Linked DNA regions of Lytechinus pictus. The protein of the gene in region 1 purifies or fractionates together with the protein of each later gene. This does not show direct contact. Links are inferred from orthologs where the notes say so. Each region holds a gene or a part of one and is shown in the gene's direction. Other genes may lie near its edges.

Evidence for each region. The genes of interacting proteins can lie anywhere in the genome.
Region 2: the proteins of cysteine-rich protein 2-binding protein-like (region 1) and transcriptional adapter 2-alpha-like purify together in Drosophila melanogaster (affinity purification with mass spectrometry; 3 studies listed by BioGRID, with this or other methods). This does not show direct contact. The link is inferred for Lytechinus pictus from reciprocal best matches to the Drosophila melanogaster genes Atac2 and Ada2a.

Annotation. Positions count from the first base shown.
Region 1 is NC_087247.1:43,280,701-43,288,782, forward strand, and holds the start of cysteine-rich protein 2-binding protein-like, read left to right. Parts: upstream 1-5,072; 5' UTR 5,073-5,432; coding exon 5,433-5,465; intron 5,466-7,291; coding exon 7,292-7,583; intron 7,584-7,773; coding exon 7,774-7,888; intron 7,889-8,082.
Region 2 is NC_087246.1:15,005,390-15,013,431, reverse strand, and holds the start of transcriptional adapter 2-alpha-like, read left to right. Parts: upstream 1-5,042; 5' UTR 5,043-5,184; exon of another isoform or gene 5,185-5,705; intron 5,706-8,042. Other genes in the region: leydig cell tumor 10 kDa protein homolog, read right to left, coding at 126-260, 1,155-1,210, 4,880-4,982. UniProt on the Drosophila melanogaster protein: Component of the histone acetyltransferase (HAT) complex ATAC; predominantly involved in acetylation of histone H4, including at Lys-6 (H4K5ac) and Lys-13 (H4K12ac).

The DNA of each region.
Region 1 (8,082 bases):
GCTAATAGAACAATGTTGCATGCAGTCCATCTTTCTTTCCGCTCGGTCGTGATATTAAGTTTTTATTTCTTGCCCCTTTTCTTTGTTTTCCAATTTAGCTTTTGACTAATTCCATTCTACCTTCATTTCCCGCTATTGTTTGCCATTTTGTCATCTTTTAATTTATTTCCCATCATGCTATTGCACTACATAGTCCTATTTCGGAATGATTTGTTCTTTCTCAAATGTTCTTCTTTCGTTCTTCTTCCCGCTTTCTTTCCTTTTCCATTTCAAAAGATATATATTTTCTTTGTTTTAAATTATTTTCACTTTTCCCATTCCTTTTCCTCCTTTCCTTTCCCTCTTTCCTTCCCCTTTCTCTTTCTTTCTACCTCCCTTTTATGTTTTCCCCGTTTTTTTTTATTTTCCCGGTGAAATCCGCCAGGGGGGCAGCTTGCCCCCCCCCCCCCGCCTGTTACGCCACTGTTTAAAGAATGTGTTTAGAATCAATTTTTATTAACGTTTTGGGAAAACAACCCCCCCTTTTCAAGATTATTTAGCTTAAATATTTTGAAAATATATTTTCATAACTTCTACAACCTTTAATGCTATCATCATTACGTTTTACCAATGTTTTAACTTGGTATTTTTCATCTCCAGTGTATTTATCGTAATTTTAGTAAAACATTTTGTTTCTGAAAATATGTGGGGGTATGATATGTCATAAAAACGTCAAAATAAGGACGTTTGTTGTACATTTCATTAACACTTTGTGAAAACATTTCAAAAATGTTTAGCTATTTTTTCAATAACATATTTTCATAATTTTTCGATGTTATTGTGACACCCAATGCATAGCGTTTTAAAGATATTAGAAAATAGTTGTTTCTAGAAAAATGTTTAAATGATATTTTAAAACATTATGTATAACATTATAAGAATGATGTTAGTAAAATGTATTTTTTCTGAAATAATGTTATATCATAAAAGCGTATATATTAAAGAATATTTATCCTTCTTTTTTAGTGTTTCATAACATTTCAAGAACGTTTTATGTTATTGCTGTAATATTATAACAACCTTTAAAAATATTTTTAGAGCCCATGTTTAACTTTATAAACATGATAGTAAAGTTTAAAAACAGTTGTATTCTAAAGACTCTAAAATAAGGATACATTTTGAAATATTTTTGGCATTTTTTTCAAAAATGTTTTGCTGAACTGTTATAAAAACATATTTTCATTACGTTTCTATTCAGGTTGATGTTATTGTCAGAATATTCTCACAATACTTAATTTTCATTTTTCTTCAAAATGGTTATAGTAAAATGTATTGTTAAGTTTTTGGAAAAAAATGTAAAAATCATAACATAATAACATTAAAAAATATTAAGAAAACATTTTTCAAAAACGTTTAGTTAAAATATAGAATTAACATAGTTTTCATAACCTTACAAGAACGTTTATGTTATTGCTAAAATGGTTATAACGTTTAATGAAATAATGTTTAACATAAGGGGAATAATTAATAACGTTTAATGAAATAATGTTTAACATAAGGGGAATAATTTGTTTCATTAATGCTATGCAAATGTTCTCAAGAAATGTTTTTTGAAAGCATTTCTAAGATCTTTCAAAAATGTTATTATAACGTTGTGTTAGCTGGGATTATAGAGATATACAGTGCGTATCAAAAAAAAGTTTACACTTTGAAAAAGCCCTGGGAATTAAAAAATATACAACATGTGGGTAATTTTTTCACATATAATCTTTGGTTTGGGTCTCTTCTATCCAATGAAAGTAAAAGTTTTGACAGAATGTTACACTTGAGTGAGCACTGTCCATTTTTGTAAAGCTCGCAGAAATCTGTTTGCGCAGAAATGCTCGTTTGTACGCTGTGTCGAGGGGAAAGGGCGAAATCAAACTTACCCTGCGAAACATTTCTCATACATTTCCCTTGCACTTTTAGTAAATTGAAATAAAACGGATACATTTCAGCATTTTCTAATAATTTTGCCACCCAAATTGAAATTTCAACACAACCTTTACCTTTTTTGTGCCAGCTGCATGGATCTGAGGACCAGTGGCGTAGCTACGGGGGGGCCTGGGGGGGCACGTGCCCCCCCCCCTGAGATTTGGTGTGCCCCCCCAAGTGCCCCCCCCCTGAAAAAAATTGGCAGAGCAAAAAAAAAAGGAGAAAGAAGAAAAAACAGGAAAAGAAGAAGAAAGACAGAAGAAAAAAAAGAAGAGGAAAATAAGAGGAGGAAGACGAGTGAATGAAATAATGTGAAGGGAAGACTTGCAAAAAAAAAACAAATCTTTCATGTTACTATATAAAACTTTTGCTTGCGCTTTTTTGCGCCAGAATTGCCTGTTCGATGAAATTCATATCTTGCTCAATAGGCTGATATGGAGCAAGTTTTGAAGTCAAAATACAAAATATATTTTAGCTCGGACATCGAGCTCTCATCAATTTTTTTTCATTAACAAATTTAAGTGTTCTAGCTGTAAAACGTCCCTTTTATAGTCTACATATCAGCATTTTTAAGCTCACGCTGCGTGGTCAAATTGTTTGATTTGCCAAGTTCCTATTGTCTACGTGTATTTCATAATGTTCCATTAAACAAATGTATTCAGACTGCCCAGATTCTAGGTCTAAATCGAAAACATGCGCGATAGCCTGCATGTTCTTTATATTAAATGTACTTAAATTATCCAGTTTCACATCAGAATATCAATAATTGTCTGCTCACGCTTCACGGTCGCATTATTAATGATACCCAATTAACTATATCCTATTTATGATTTACAAAATATGAATAGCCGCTTTTAGGTCTAAAATCTCAATTTTCTTCCTCTCGCGCTTCGCGCTCGCATCAATTGTTTAGTTACATACCTATCCCATTTATTAATACAAAAAGTGCTTAGAATGACAATTTTTTAGGTCGGAATGTCAAAAAATATTTGCTCGCGCTTCGCGCTCGCATTATTGAAATATATACCGTCTTCGTGGGTAACTGTAAGCAGTCCTTAACAGGTCCCTTTTCGATAATGCTAGAACAGTTAATAAAAAGTTCTGCTCGCGCTTGGCCTTCGCAGTAACCATCTAGTTACATACGAATCTTGTTCAGGATCACACATAACATTGCACAGAATATTACATTTTCAGGACAAAATACATGAAAGTAAAAAAAAAAAAATCGCTCGCGCTTCGCGCTCGCACTTTTTATAAGGCTTATGAGATTATTTCATGTTTATGTTGTTCTATAAGAATAAATCTAAGAAGTGACTGATCGGGGGAAATATAGGTGAAGATAATTTCGGGCCCCGTCCCCTATTGGCGAAAGTCGGATCCGCCCTTGTGACACATACACACACAACGGAAAAAATGGTGCCCCCCCTGAAAAAGCAAGGACCCCCCAGTGCCCCCCCCAGGAAAAAAATCCTAGCTACGCCACTGCTGAGGACATAACTGAATCTGAACAAAAGTTTATATCAGACAGTTTTTATCATTTAAAGTGGGTTTACATTTCATTTTTCATTTAATACTTGTTTGTCCACACTTTTCCCAAGCTTGACAATGATTAACAAAATGAAAATCAAGCCTAAGCCATTTTATGTAAATCACAGCTCAGTGTAAAGCAAATTCGTCACGATGGCCTCGGTGTGTGGGGGAGTGGGGTGGGGTGCAATGCACTCCTCGAAGTGGTTTGGGCAAGGAAACAAGTTAAAAAAGGTAAAAGATATCTTCAAATCAATTTTACTAGCTAAATTCCACGTGTTCTTCATGATTAAGGTCAACTTTTATTCGCATATATACCTATTTCAAAGTTCTGCGCAAATCATTTTTCACTAACTTTTCAAAAGTAAGTGGTGCTCACTCAAGCGGAAATATTTTTCGACAGTTATATCATCATTTGCTTAAATGGGGTTAAATGGATCTGTACCAATGTTAAAATGTGGAAAAATCTTCAGGATATTACAAATGTGTAATTTTACAGGATTTTTTCGAAGTGTAAACTTTTTTTGATACGCACTGTATAACAACGCAAAATAGCTATCCGCTACTATCAGAAATGCAGCAATATTGCGTGTCATCAATTTGAGTTGAGAGAGAGCCTATTATACTTCGGCCCAGTGGCGTACCTAGGATTTTTCACAGGGGGGGGGGCAAAACCGTCCACCAAAAAATTTGACAAGCAAAAAAAAAAAAAAAAAAAAAAAAAAAAAAAAAGGTCTTTTCGATCACAAATTAAGGATTTCGTACCAGAAAAAAATTGACAAGCAAAAAAAAAAAAAAAAAAAAAAAAGGTCTTCAAGCTCGTCAGGGGGGCATTGAAGGTCTTAAAGCTCGCCGGGGGGGGGGGGCAAAAAAGGTTTTTCAAGCCCGTCAGGGGGGGCAAAGATACGTTTTTGCATGGGTTGTGACTCGTCAGGGGGGGCAGAGTGCCCCCCCTGCCCCCCCCCCCGTAGGTACGCTAGTGCTTCGGCCTATCTAAGTTCATGCCCGACGCATAAGCCCTTTTATATACTTGCTGGCAATAAATACACACTATACTCTAATAGTAGAGGCAGGGAAATCGGGGGGGGGGGGGGAGACTACCGGGTTAGCGCAAGGGCATCGGACGCGATTTCCCCGGCCCGGCCCGCTAAAAGGGAAGAAAATTTACATATGAAAGAGAGAGACGACGTCTCGTTTTGGTTTTGATTCTTCTCAGAAAAATATAAACCGGAAACCCACAAAGCTACCCTTTTCCCCTTTTCTTCTCTTTTCCTTTTTTTTATTTTATTTAAGCCCTTTTATATACTTGCTGGCAATAAATACACACTATACTCTAATAGTAGAGGCAGGGAAATCGGGGGGGGGGGGGGGGAGACTACCGGGTTAGCGCAAGGGCATCGGACGCGATTTCCCCGGCCCGGCCCGCTAAAAGGGAAGAAAATTTACATATGAAAGAGAGAGACGACGTCTCGTTTTGGTTTTGATTCTTCTCAGAAAAATATAAACCGGAAACCCACAAAGCTACCCTTTTCCCCTTTTCTTCTCTTTTCCTTTTTTTTATTTTGGGGCGCCTCCCCCCCCCCCCCTCCCCCCATACACCCCTGCATGCAGATATGCATTCAAGAGTCTTTTGTTAAAATTTAGGTCTTGCTGTCTGACATGTCCAACACGGGGTCCAACCACTAACAATAATAATATTGATGAAAATCTATACTAGCCAACATTTTTCTAAATCTTACTTGTATTAAACTTCCAATTTTATTTGGGATTTTTTTTTCTTATATAGGAATTACTAATTAGGATCTAACTTTACAGCTGGCCGAACGGCGGCAGCGCATACCGCGGCGGCGCGGGCGGGCAGCGCAGCGGTCCAATCTGCCACCAGTACAGTACAGTAGTTACCACTGATCTGACAGCTGACCGATCGACCTGAAATAAAATTTGAACAAGCGATGTCAGGTGTAACTTCAAGTGAAGCTGATCAGGTAGTAATGATATTCATGAAGTTGTTAGGAGTGGGGGCTACGGGTCAGGAAATCAAAATTTAAATGAATGTAGACTAGTCTGATCGTATTTTATCATGCTTATAATTTTCAACACCAAGCAACAGCCAACAGGAACATGAATTGCAATATGTGGGACTGGACTTGGCATTGACTCTTAGTCTTAAGTTGAGCCTGAGGACTCCATGATGATATTTTTTAATATTTTGACATAGATCTAAACTTCTTCATCATTCATGGAGCCCTGAACCGTCTCCCATATATGCATATATGCATAAGTGAGACCTGGATAGATTTCCCTACTGCCCTATATTTTAGCCTATAAATAATGCTATATTTTAATATAATACACTATACAGGGTGAAATCGGTTTATAATTAATAAGTGAATTTTATTGAAACCTTCAAACGCCTAAAATTTAGATTTTTTATGAAGGTATAAAAATTATTTCACTATGAATGGCAAAAATGAGAGGTTTCTTACCAGAATGATCTCGTGTAGATCCCTCAATCCATTTGCCAACAAAGCAAATACAATAGGTCTGACCCTTGAACCGCTTCGTTATGCCATACCTTCGATTAGCGATGTTCCAAAATGCTGTTTTGAAGAACAATTTATAGATAAAAATTATTATTTAACAAATACTAAAATTTATTACGTGATTATGAATTTTTTTTCTTTAATTCCCTTCTTTTTCTATCTTGGTTGTAGAACATTCGGGGGCCACTGGGCCTAACCCTTCCATCCTGTACCCCAGTGCTAAACTGCTATATCAGCAGGTGGGTCTCGATACCTCTGGATATTTAGCCATTTTAAACCTCATAGATGGCTGCTATTGTTAATCAAATTGTGAGTGTAGACCTAATTATAGAAGAACATTTCGTTAAGGTTTTTATTCTTTTGACAAAAAAAACCAAGAAGGAAAAACAAATCAGTTCTACACCCTCCCTTTTTTCATTTTCCTTTTTCTCTTTTCGCCCCCCTACTTTTTTTTTTGGGGGGGGGGGCACCACCCCCTGGCTAGTACGCGCCTGCCAGATGAAGAGGCGAGCGAGCAAAAATTTTGTCATTACAAATATAAATTTTTTGATAGATTTTGACATAACATTCGGGATGATTGTCGCAATGGTCATTTTGTCTCGCTTAAAATTTGACAAGTAAAAAAAAAGATTGTCACTCAAAATGAAAGCCATTTTGTCTGCGTAATATTTGGCAACCCCCCCCCCCAAAGGTTATTAAAAAAAAGGAAGGTCATTTTGTCCTGCGTGAAATTTTATTTGGCCAGCCCCCCCCCCCAACGGTTTTAACTAAAAATGATCGAAGGGCATTTTGTTTCTAGTAAAATTCGTCATATAAAAGTTAACTATATTCTTCATCATCAATCTCTTCTTCAAAATCATAAATTTTGAAATTTAAATCTAGATGAACTTCTGGGTTTCTTCCATTTCGTGATCGATGTTTTCAGTAACTTTGTGGAGAAAACATACCCTCCCTACAGGTTTTGGATGCAAGTGGAGCTTGATGTGGGATAACCAATCGTGTTTCGCACCAGCATACACGTCATTAAAAATCACCAATTTTGAGGCCGTTATTTACGTGTTCGAAGCACTCAGAGAGGGAACTTTAAAACTATCAATTAACTGAATTTCATCTGTCTCCATGATAAATGAGGGACACCACTATGTTCTTTGATTTTCTGCTTTGATTTGATATATAATTCTCCATTTTGGGGATTGGCAATATATTTCTACTTTATAAAGATTTCAAAATTGAAGTGAATAAACATATTTTCTATCATCCTTGTGCAGGGGGAAAATGATGAAATTGATGTGGTTTCCATGGATACGAAATCCCCAGGAGTTAATAGGGAGGAAGCTAAGTCACAGGATGAAGACATTATCATGGAGACAGTGGATGACCATGATGCAGAAGATGAAGAAGAAGAGTCCTCTAATGTGACCATCATCCACGAGGAGGAAGAAATGAGGGAAAATGTAGATGTAACAGAGGACGAGTCCTTGGGGGATCAGTGTTACTGTGAAGGCAAAGGGGATGGTCCGATGATCTCCTGTGAAAAATGCAAGAAGTCTTTTCATTTAGGTAGGTCAATGAGGAAGTTTTAAATTCTAATTGTTTGATTATTTGTATTTTCATGACACAGACATACTGAACAACATCTTCAATTTTATTTTATTATGGAAAGGAACACAATTTTGTGTCTGGCCTTTTGAAGAGCATAATACATAATACTGAGATTTATTTCTGTCATGTGTGTTATTGTTTTTCATAGCTTGCTTCAAAACTGGCAATCCTACAACTCTAGAAGGGGACATTTTCTTCAAACTGAATTGCAGTACATGTAAGGCGCCTGAAGATGAGACAGTGGAAAGAATGAGATTGACTTGGTAATTTTAATAAGAGTGCTAACAGGATAATAATATGATTTTCTAGTTTTATTGATGATATTTCATTTTCTTGAATTCCATATCTGATGCTAACATGAATACTGTACTTGCAATCTGAGATATAGGCCTAATGCGTGTACTTGTTATCAAGTGGAAATGAGACTAGATAAAGATCAAATCTAAAACAATCAACA
Region 2 (8,042 bases), on another chromosome or scaffold:
TTGTTTGAAGAAAATTTTGCTGAAATCTTTTACACCAATTATGCTGTTCTCTGCTCTCTAGTTTCCCCCAGAGTCCTTGATGCACGATCGTTATTCATCAATCCTTCAAAAGTTTCATGCCTTGATCATTTTTTTCCTTTCTTCTTTGAATCACCTCCCCCTGATGAAGGTGCAGCTACCAAAAGCTTCTTTGGTTCTTTAGAGGCAGCCTGGGAAATGATTTCTTGCTCATTCCGAGAGCTGATTGCCTTTGTGATATTCTGCAAGGGAAAAGAGGATGTTAAATGTCAATCGTATCATTAGTAAAAAAATAACAGTAAAAGGATTATCAGTTCAGTTTAATACATTCACTTGTGAAAGAAATCCACTTGATAAAATATTAATGAAAATTTATCACCATCCCATCTCACCCTGAATCAGATGCCATCCATTCCCCTATCTCCATCAAAGAAACAATAGTTATTTTTAAATATGCTTAAATATGTATAAAACAAAATAATGGAAATACTATTCTAAATTAAAGCAATTCTGCAACCAGAAAAGTATAGTGTTTTCTTTGTTTCTAGGAGACTTGACTTGGACATAATAACCTGTATTTATTCTGCTTATATAAGGCAAACCCTACATTTAAGTCAATCAATCATGAATGATCTCAATGGTCTGTTTAATTAGATTGGTAATCTGTACATCATTGCTAAACTTCATATCATTTGAAATTAATTCTCGAGAGAGACAGACAGTTACCCAAGCATCAGTTTTAATGTAAAATTTAAAATCTGTAGAGTTTTAGACATCAACATGTGTTTGTTCTACTTCAATCTGAGTAAAATTGAATTCTTTTGTCCAATATAAAGTAACATTCTCCTTGCCTCATAAGCTTAGTCATTATCTCAGAGGACCTGCTCCGATTTTGGCCAAATCAAGCAAAGTCTGTGATTAATCACAGACTTTCAATGGTACACTGTGACTGGCAGAGCCCTAAAGCAGATCAGATATCACAGGTATGTCTATCACTTCTCAGCAAATAGTAATCAACTTTCCATGAAATCTCAAGAAAGATGACTTTTATATACAGGTCAATATCTGAATTGAAAGATATTGATTTTCCTTTTTCCATTATATTTCCTTACTGATGATCTAAAATAGTTTCTCACCTTCTTCAGTTTAGCAGCTTCTATCTGCTTTGCTTTCTTAGGAGCGATGAATCTGGCTGAAATAAAATAACAAAAACAGTGAGTTGTAAAATCTCTCTTCCCCATGACATTAGCATTTTCCCAAACATTTAGACAAAGAAATTCAGAAACATTTATAAACATTACTGCAACTTATATATTCCATTTTAGTGACTTGAATTTGAAAGTGGTATTTAATTGCCAGATATGTATTTTCTATGTGAAAAACAAAAAAAAATCAAAATCAATGATCCAATCTAATGTTTAGAGAAAAATGACAGAACAAATGTCTTGACCAATTGCTCTGTGAGAAAATTGAAACCATGTTGAGTTTTGATAAAAATGCAGAGCGATTAGCCCAATGATTTCGCATGATTCTAACCAAAGAAGACACATAACAACCATAAACTTTAAATCTGCATGCTGCAATACATAGATTGATAAAATTTAAACAAAATCAGATCATGATTAATGAATTTCAATGACAATTCACCAGGATTCACGTACAGGCCTCAATATGCAGCCTTTCTCATCGTAATCCATGAAGCCTTGAGAGTGGGTTAATGATATTGGTTGTTCTGTTGGCTCCACTCATACAGAGACCAAAGTTCTTACTCGATCTGTACAGGGACTCAATGGCCATATGTTTATGTATTAAGTTCGGATAAACCAGGGAAGTGGGAGTTGCGCGACACTCAACAGCCAAAGTAAGTCACTGTTTTTTTTCCTTTTAAGTTTATTTTTTCCTGTTTTGGTGCATTTCAGGCCAAACAGAATGATTTATTTTGGTCCAGTTCTTTTTATATATTTTTATGAGATAAAGACAAAAATCGATTAGCCCCGTCGGGGGAATTTTGCATTGTAAACCCCCTAATGGTGGCTGCATGATCATGAGCCGTCTGTGTACAAGGAAAAATAAAAATTTTTAAAAAACTCCTCGAAACAGATGGCTGCCAGCTGTACTTTAAAAAAATCTTATTCTTTGAGTACAAAATGTAAGGAAATATAGAAAAAAATAGATAACAAAATTGAATTCATATCTTAGTGTAATCCAAAGACAAAAAAGGCTTCAAAAATATAAAGTGACCCCCCCCCCCCTATACAAACTGCATTGCAGTGGCTAGTGTTGCCCTGTATGTAGTGTAGTGTATAGCGTTACTGATTTTTGCGCGAATAACGCAACGTGAGGGATGATTATCAGATTGACCCAGCACAGTGTTTCCACTCTTCCCGAAATTCGGAAAATTTTGACTTTTTCCAGGAAAGGTTCGGGAAATGAAAAAATTCCAGGAAATTTCGGGAAATTCAAAATTTACAATTAAACGTAGCAACTATTATGGGCACTAGTATTCAACCCGGCATATTTCAAAGATTTGGACAAATTCCCCCAAATATTTAGAAAAAGGGAACTATCTTAATTTCATACCTTTGTTATTTTCAGGGTAATCTGTTGTCAGTATTTTCTTAATCAATCTATGCTCGGAGGAGCGAATTATGCGGCCATGACCTTTTGCACTGAATTGCACTAGTATTCAACTTAGTGATGATAGATAGTGAATCTCAAAATGGTTTAGATTGCTAAACTAGATCTAGATCTATGTAAGTCTCTGGCTTTGACTAATTCCCTGTTTGGTCTCATCTCAAATGGTCTAGTCCATAGTCGGATGGGACAAGGGCAGATTGAGAGACAGGGCCATCTTTCATCGCTAGGTTGAATACTAGTGCCAAAAACCATCGCCGTATAATTCAATCGCCCGCGCACACAGTCGATAGTTGAAGAAAAAAAATATAAAAAAGCAAAAAGAATAACCAGCATGCTCTTGAAAATAAGACAGGTCTGAAATTATAGTAAATTCCATATTTCTATACATTTGAGGAAACTCTCCAAACGGGTTGAATACTAGTGCCCTTACGGTACGTAGCTCAAAATTTTCCGCTCTCGCAAAGTCACATTTTGTAATTTTTGTTCCTATAGGTCTAGTCTAGACCCCTTTATGGTAGGGGGTCCTAAAGCTACACACCACTCATCGCGCATGCAGTTTTTATGGCAAATGTGCACTCTGTGTGTGGAACTGTGACTGCAGAGTGACAAACGATTCTTATTCAATTTTTTCTACTGTAAATGTAAATCTCTAAATGCAGAGAAAACCAACAACTGTTTGGAATTTTGAAATTATATTCGCTTTAATTTCATTTTATCCTCTAATACTGTGAACATATTTTAGAAATACTATTTTTTTGCATGATAAATCAAGTGCGTAGCTTTAGGACCCCTTCTCTACATTTAACATTAGGCGGCGAAATCAAGAGGTGTTGGAAAACACGGCGGGATTTTCGTAGTTTGTGATATTTTCTTCTTGGTTAATGATCTTTAGAATGTTAAGTTTGCCACAAATTGGTGAAAGGTAATTTGTTCAAATACTAAAATTGGCATATCTTTTATCTTTACTACTAACAAAGTTAGTGTGAGTGGCTGAGTGCCCCCATCATACCTATTTAAGGACGTTCCACAGTTAAAGTGAAATCCATGTCATTTTCACGAAACTTTGCACATAGATACTTTAGAACCTTAATGTTCGAAATATGCAAAAATTAACATAGGTCCATGTGCTTGATTTTTTGCTATAGAAGTTCAAAGTTCACCCAAATTGATGTTCTTAAGAATTGCGCATTCAAAAGAATTTGGCATTTTTAGACCGCCCAAGATTACTACAATGAGTTTAAACCTGTATTACTCAGTCAAAATACATGAAAAAGTCATCAAATTTCGCAAGAGAGTTAATAATTGTATCATTAGAACGGAGAATATATTCATAGTGCTATTTGTTTGCAATTTTAAGTTTAACAGCACTGTCAGTTCTTAAAAATGGCGTAAAAGATAACAAAATCCCAATCTAAAAAATGTGAAATTTCAGTAACAAACTACAAAAGTACAATAAATGCTGCACTTTATTCAAAATCCATGTCATTTTCACCAAAATTTGTAGAGTTGTAGAGGAAGGTATACTTAAGAGGAACAAACATTAACGTTCATGTGCTTGTTTTTAAACTATCAGTATTTTTATTAGAGCAAATGTGCTTTTTAAAACACCAAATATGCGCCGAATGCTTTGTATCTATGTGAAAAAAAAATCAAAACCACTCTACCATTTATTCAAACTCGGGGTAATATTTGTGATTCTTGGCAGCACTGCAGAGTAAAGTATTTTGAAATTGTAGAGAATCTTTTTTTGAATGGTCCATGGAATAATTCAATTTTTTAGCTTCATGAAAAAACGCATCGGATCTGCAGTTAAAGTGCAGAAGATGAGAAAAATCAGCACATACCCGCAGCTAATTAATCACCTGTTCACCCATTGTGACGTCAGCGCGCAGAGTGTAAACTATGCGCAGATCATAATGCGCACAAACATGTTACTGTGGAACGTCCTTTAAAGAGGGCGTGAACAAAAAAATGCTGAATTCCTTGATTTGGCCACCTGGACCAAATTTAGGCTTGCTATATTATTCATTTATTGCCCGATTTTTGTTGAAATCAAACATGAAAATTCCAGGAAATATCTATGAATTTCAGGAAATTTGGTAATTGGGATTCAATTTCGGGAAATTTATTTTGGAGCTGTGCCTGTGGAAACACTGACCCAGCACAAATTCTTACGCGTCGGGCAATGCATACCGTAGATCCTCTCGAAACTAAATCTACCTACCTCCTCTCTTTGGCCCTTTCTTCTTCTGATGAGCATATTTTTGCTTATTTCGACTACCCTTTCCTGGGACTTGCACTTTTGTTTTGATCTTTCCTTGAACCATCCTGATACTGTCACTTCAATATTCTATATTTTAATCTAAAATCGGTCTGGTTTTTTTTTCGAAAACGGAGCGACGTGAGCATGGTGAGTGACGTCGAAAGGTGAAAGGGAAGGGACTCACTCGATTTACACATGATTGATAAGATTAAGGCTAAGCTAAGCCAGAGCAAGGACGTAAAAGGCAATAAAGATAATTATCAGAGGTAATTATAACTACCATACATACTGAAAAGATATAAAGATTAACATAAATAAGTCTTTCTCTCGACTAAGTACCGTATGTGACGTGAATTCATGCGAGTATGAACTTGACATTTACAACCAGCATGTGTTGCGAGCGATTTAGCTCGTGTACGATTTTAACGGATCGGTCACATAATTGTGCTTTAGACCCTTTACCTGCGTGTATAAAAAATCTTACGTACAGGTGATAGGAATAGACTAATAACTTCGGGTGAATGAATATGAATGAAGCAGTAAAACTAAAAAGGAGAGAGCATCCAACCAACTCAAACAGTTGGCCCGGCTTCTGTTGCTTTGGCCTAACTATTTTTCCTGGTAAAGCCTACAATAACAGTTAACACAAACCAAGCAAACTATTTTTTTTTTTTTTGGGGGGGGGCAAGCGCAAGGCCGCCCCCCCCAAAAAAAATTCACAACCAAACTGAGGGCGAAACTGAGTCTGAGTAGGGCAAGTGCAAGCCAAGGTCCCAAAAAATATAGAAAGAGAGAAAAGGAAAGGGAAATGGAGGTCTTCTAAACTATTATTGTCTATTCTCTGAATATTAATCAAAATCTATAAAAAAAAACTTTTTGGTCCAAATATCTGCCCCAGCAGCCCCCTACAATTTTTTTTTTGGGGGGCTCATTATAAGTGTATTACGTCACTGGATGTCATTAATGGAGAGCATGAAATTTAAAGGTTTCGATCTGAACCAAGCTTGCCAAACTTGGCACTTTCGAACCGAACACAAAGCCAAAGGCCTGGTTCGATGGTTCGGTAAAAAATAGGCCCATTTTAATTGAAAGTCCAATTTTGCCCTATGCGCGGCACCGGTAATCCCCTCACAGCTGGGTGGTCCATCACGGCACCATCACACTTACGGGCGCAGGCCGCTTGTAAATCAGAGAGGGAAAGTTGATCGAATGCAATTTAAAATGCTGATATTCGGACCCAATGCCAATGGGTAATATTAATATGAATAAATTTTACAGATCATAATCAACGAAATATCATAAAAGTTAGGTATAGATCTATCTCTTCAAATGCGTCAATTCTAATATTTTTTTCCGGAACGGTCCGGAGCTGAGGCCTGTACTGTGTAAATGTGTGAGCATGGAGCTCCCGCATCACACTCACCTTCAACTTCTTCTTCTTCCAGTCTGGAACAGTCACTGGCGTATTATCGTACCTTGTGCTTGTCAAGTGCTGAGTGTACGGTGCAGCAAAAAAAAACAGGACTGAAGCTTAACAAAGCTTGACACACTGCACCTTCAGCTTGAAAAGCTCCAATGACCAATGAGGTGCAGTTGACAGCGACAGGCGGTAATGAGTTCCACAGCCTGATAGCTTCTGGGTAAAATGATGTTTGAAGAAATCGTGTCCTTGCATAGGGAACCTGGAGTTTATGTGGATTTCCACGAGTGCGTACGTGGCGCTGCTACTTACACAAATAGGAGTATGTGGGGCACTGGAGGATACTCGACGATGCAACAATCGCCGTAGAAATGCCCCGTAGATTCGTCATTATATTTTCAAGGCGAACATGACCGAACAAATAATCTTAGCATCGAAATCAAGTTTGAAATGCTTTTTCCCCTCATTGTAATTTCTAAGACAGGAGCATACAGGAAAAGGTTTATAAAATATAAAGCAAGAAAAACAGACGAACATAAATAAATAATATCCAACTTTCTCCGTTCGTACTATGGCTGGATTGAATTAGATTTCAACGTATTTGGTGTGTGTGCAAAGGGGATCATCTCAGAAGTTCAACCTTACATCAAAGATGTATCAGGAATCCGTACGAAGAGATATGAATGTTGGAAGGCCAGCAAGTCATGTTTCGATTTTGAAAAAAAATCAGAGCTCGAAGGGAAGTTATGTGGAAGAACGTCGTTTACGGTGGTGCCTCGCAGGGACCTTAAAAAAATCACTGACCTGAAATTTTACGAGCGGGCTTATCGCGTTACGTAAGCGGGCTCTTACTTTCACCTGGCGGCTCGCAGATTGATGTTAGATATCGTTCCTTCGCCAGAAGGGAGCGATAACAAAGGATTAACAGAGGAATTGGAAGAAGGATCTCCTTCTGTGTTTTATAGCTTCATGGTAATATGATAACTTCCGTTGGGCGTAAGTCATATCGATTATTTTGTAAACAGCTTTAATTTGATTGAACATCGATGCATTGAAATTTGAAGGCGGGAAAATCAAGTCAATTTTTGTGCTCCGTCATGACCGTGCTGAGGGACGGGTTAAGCGTTGCACAAGTTTGATGTTTGATGTTTGAAAATCAATCCTGACATGATATAATTTTTTTTAGAAAAGTGCACCCATCACTCGTTCAGGAATTTGTGATGTCCGTCATTAAAAATGGAAACGAAATACAAATGTTTCACATCAAGCCCTAAATTCATATTATTAATTATCATTTGCAAATTATTGTCAAAATATTATGATTAAATAATGTTCTATGGTCATAATAAGAAATATTGTTAATGAGAACAAGATTTATTTTACGTTGGTCGCATCATGATTTTCCTTTAAGATCAATTTCGATCTTGTTTGATTAAAGCACAATGTGCATGCGCGATCGATAACGATAAATTCCATTCATGAATTCATCGTGCATGAATTATCTCAGCATTCAGAGTGAGACTCGAACTAGGATAAAAATAAGCTTCAAATTAATGGTGAATAGGCATCATAATTACACAATATGTTTCATTTTGTGGAAATATAGATCAAGTGGGTAGTAGTTATTAAGTAGCCTACTATGAAAGCATGGCAAAATCTCGTACATTGCAGCTCATTGACATTGGTTTATAACGTTAACTGCAT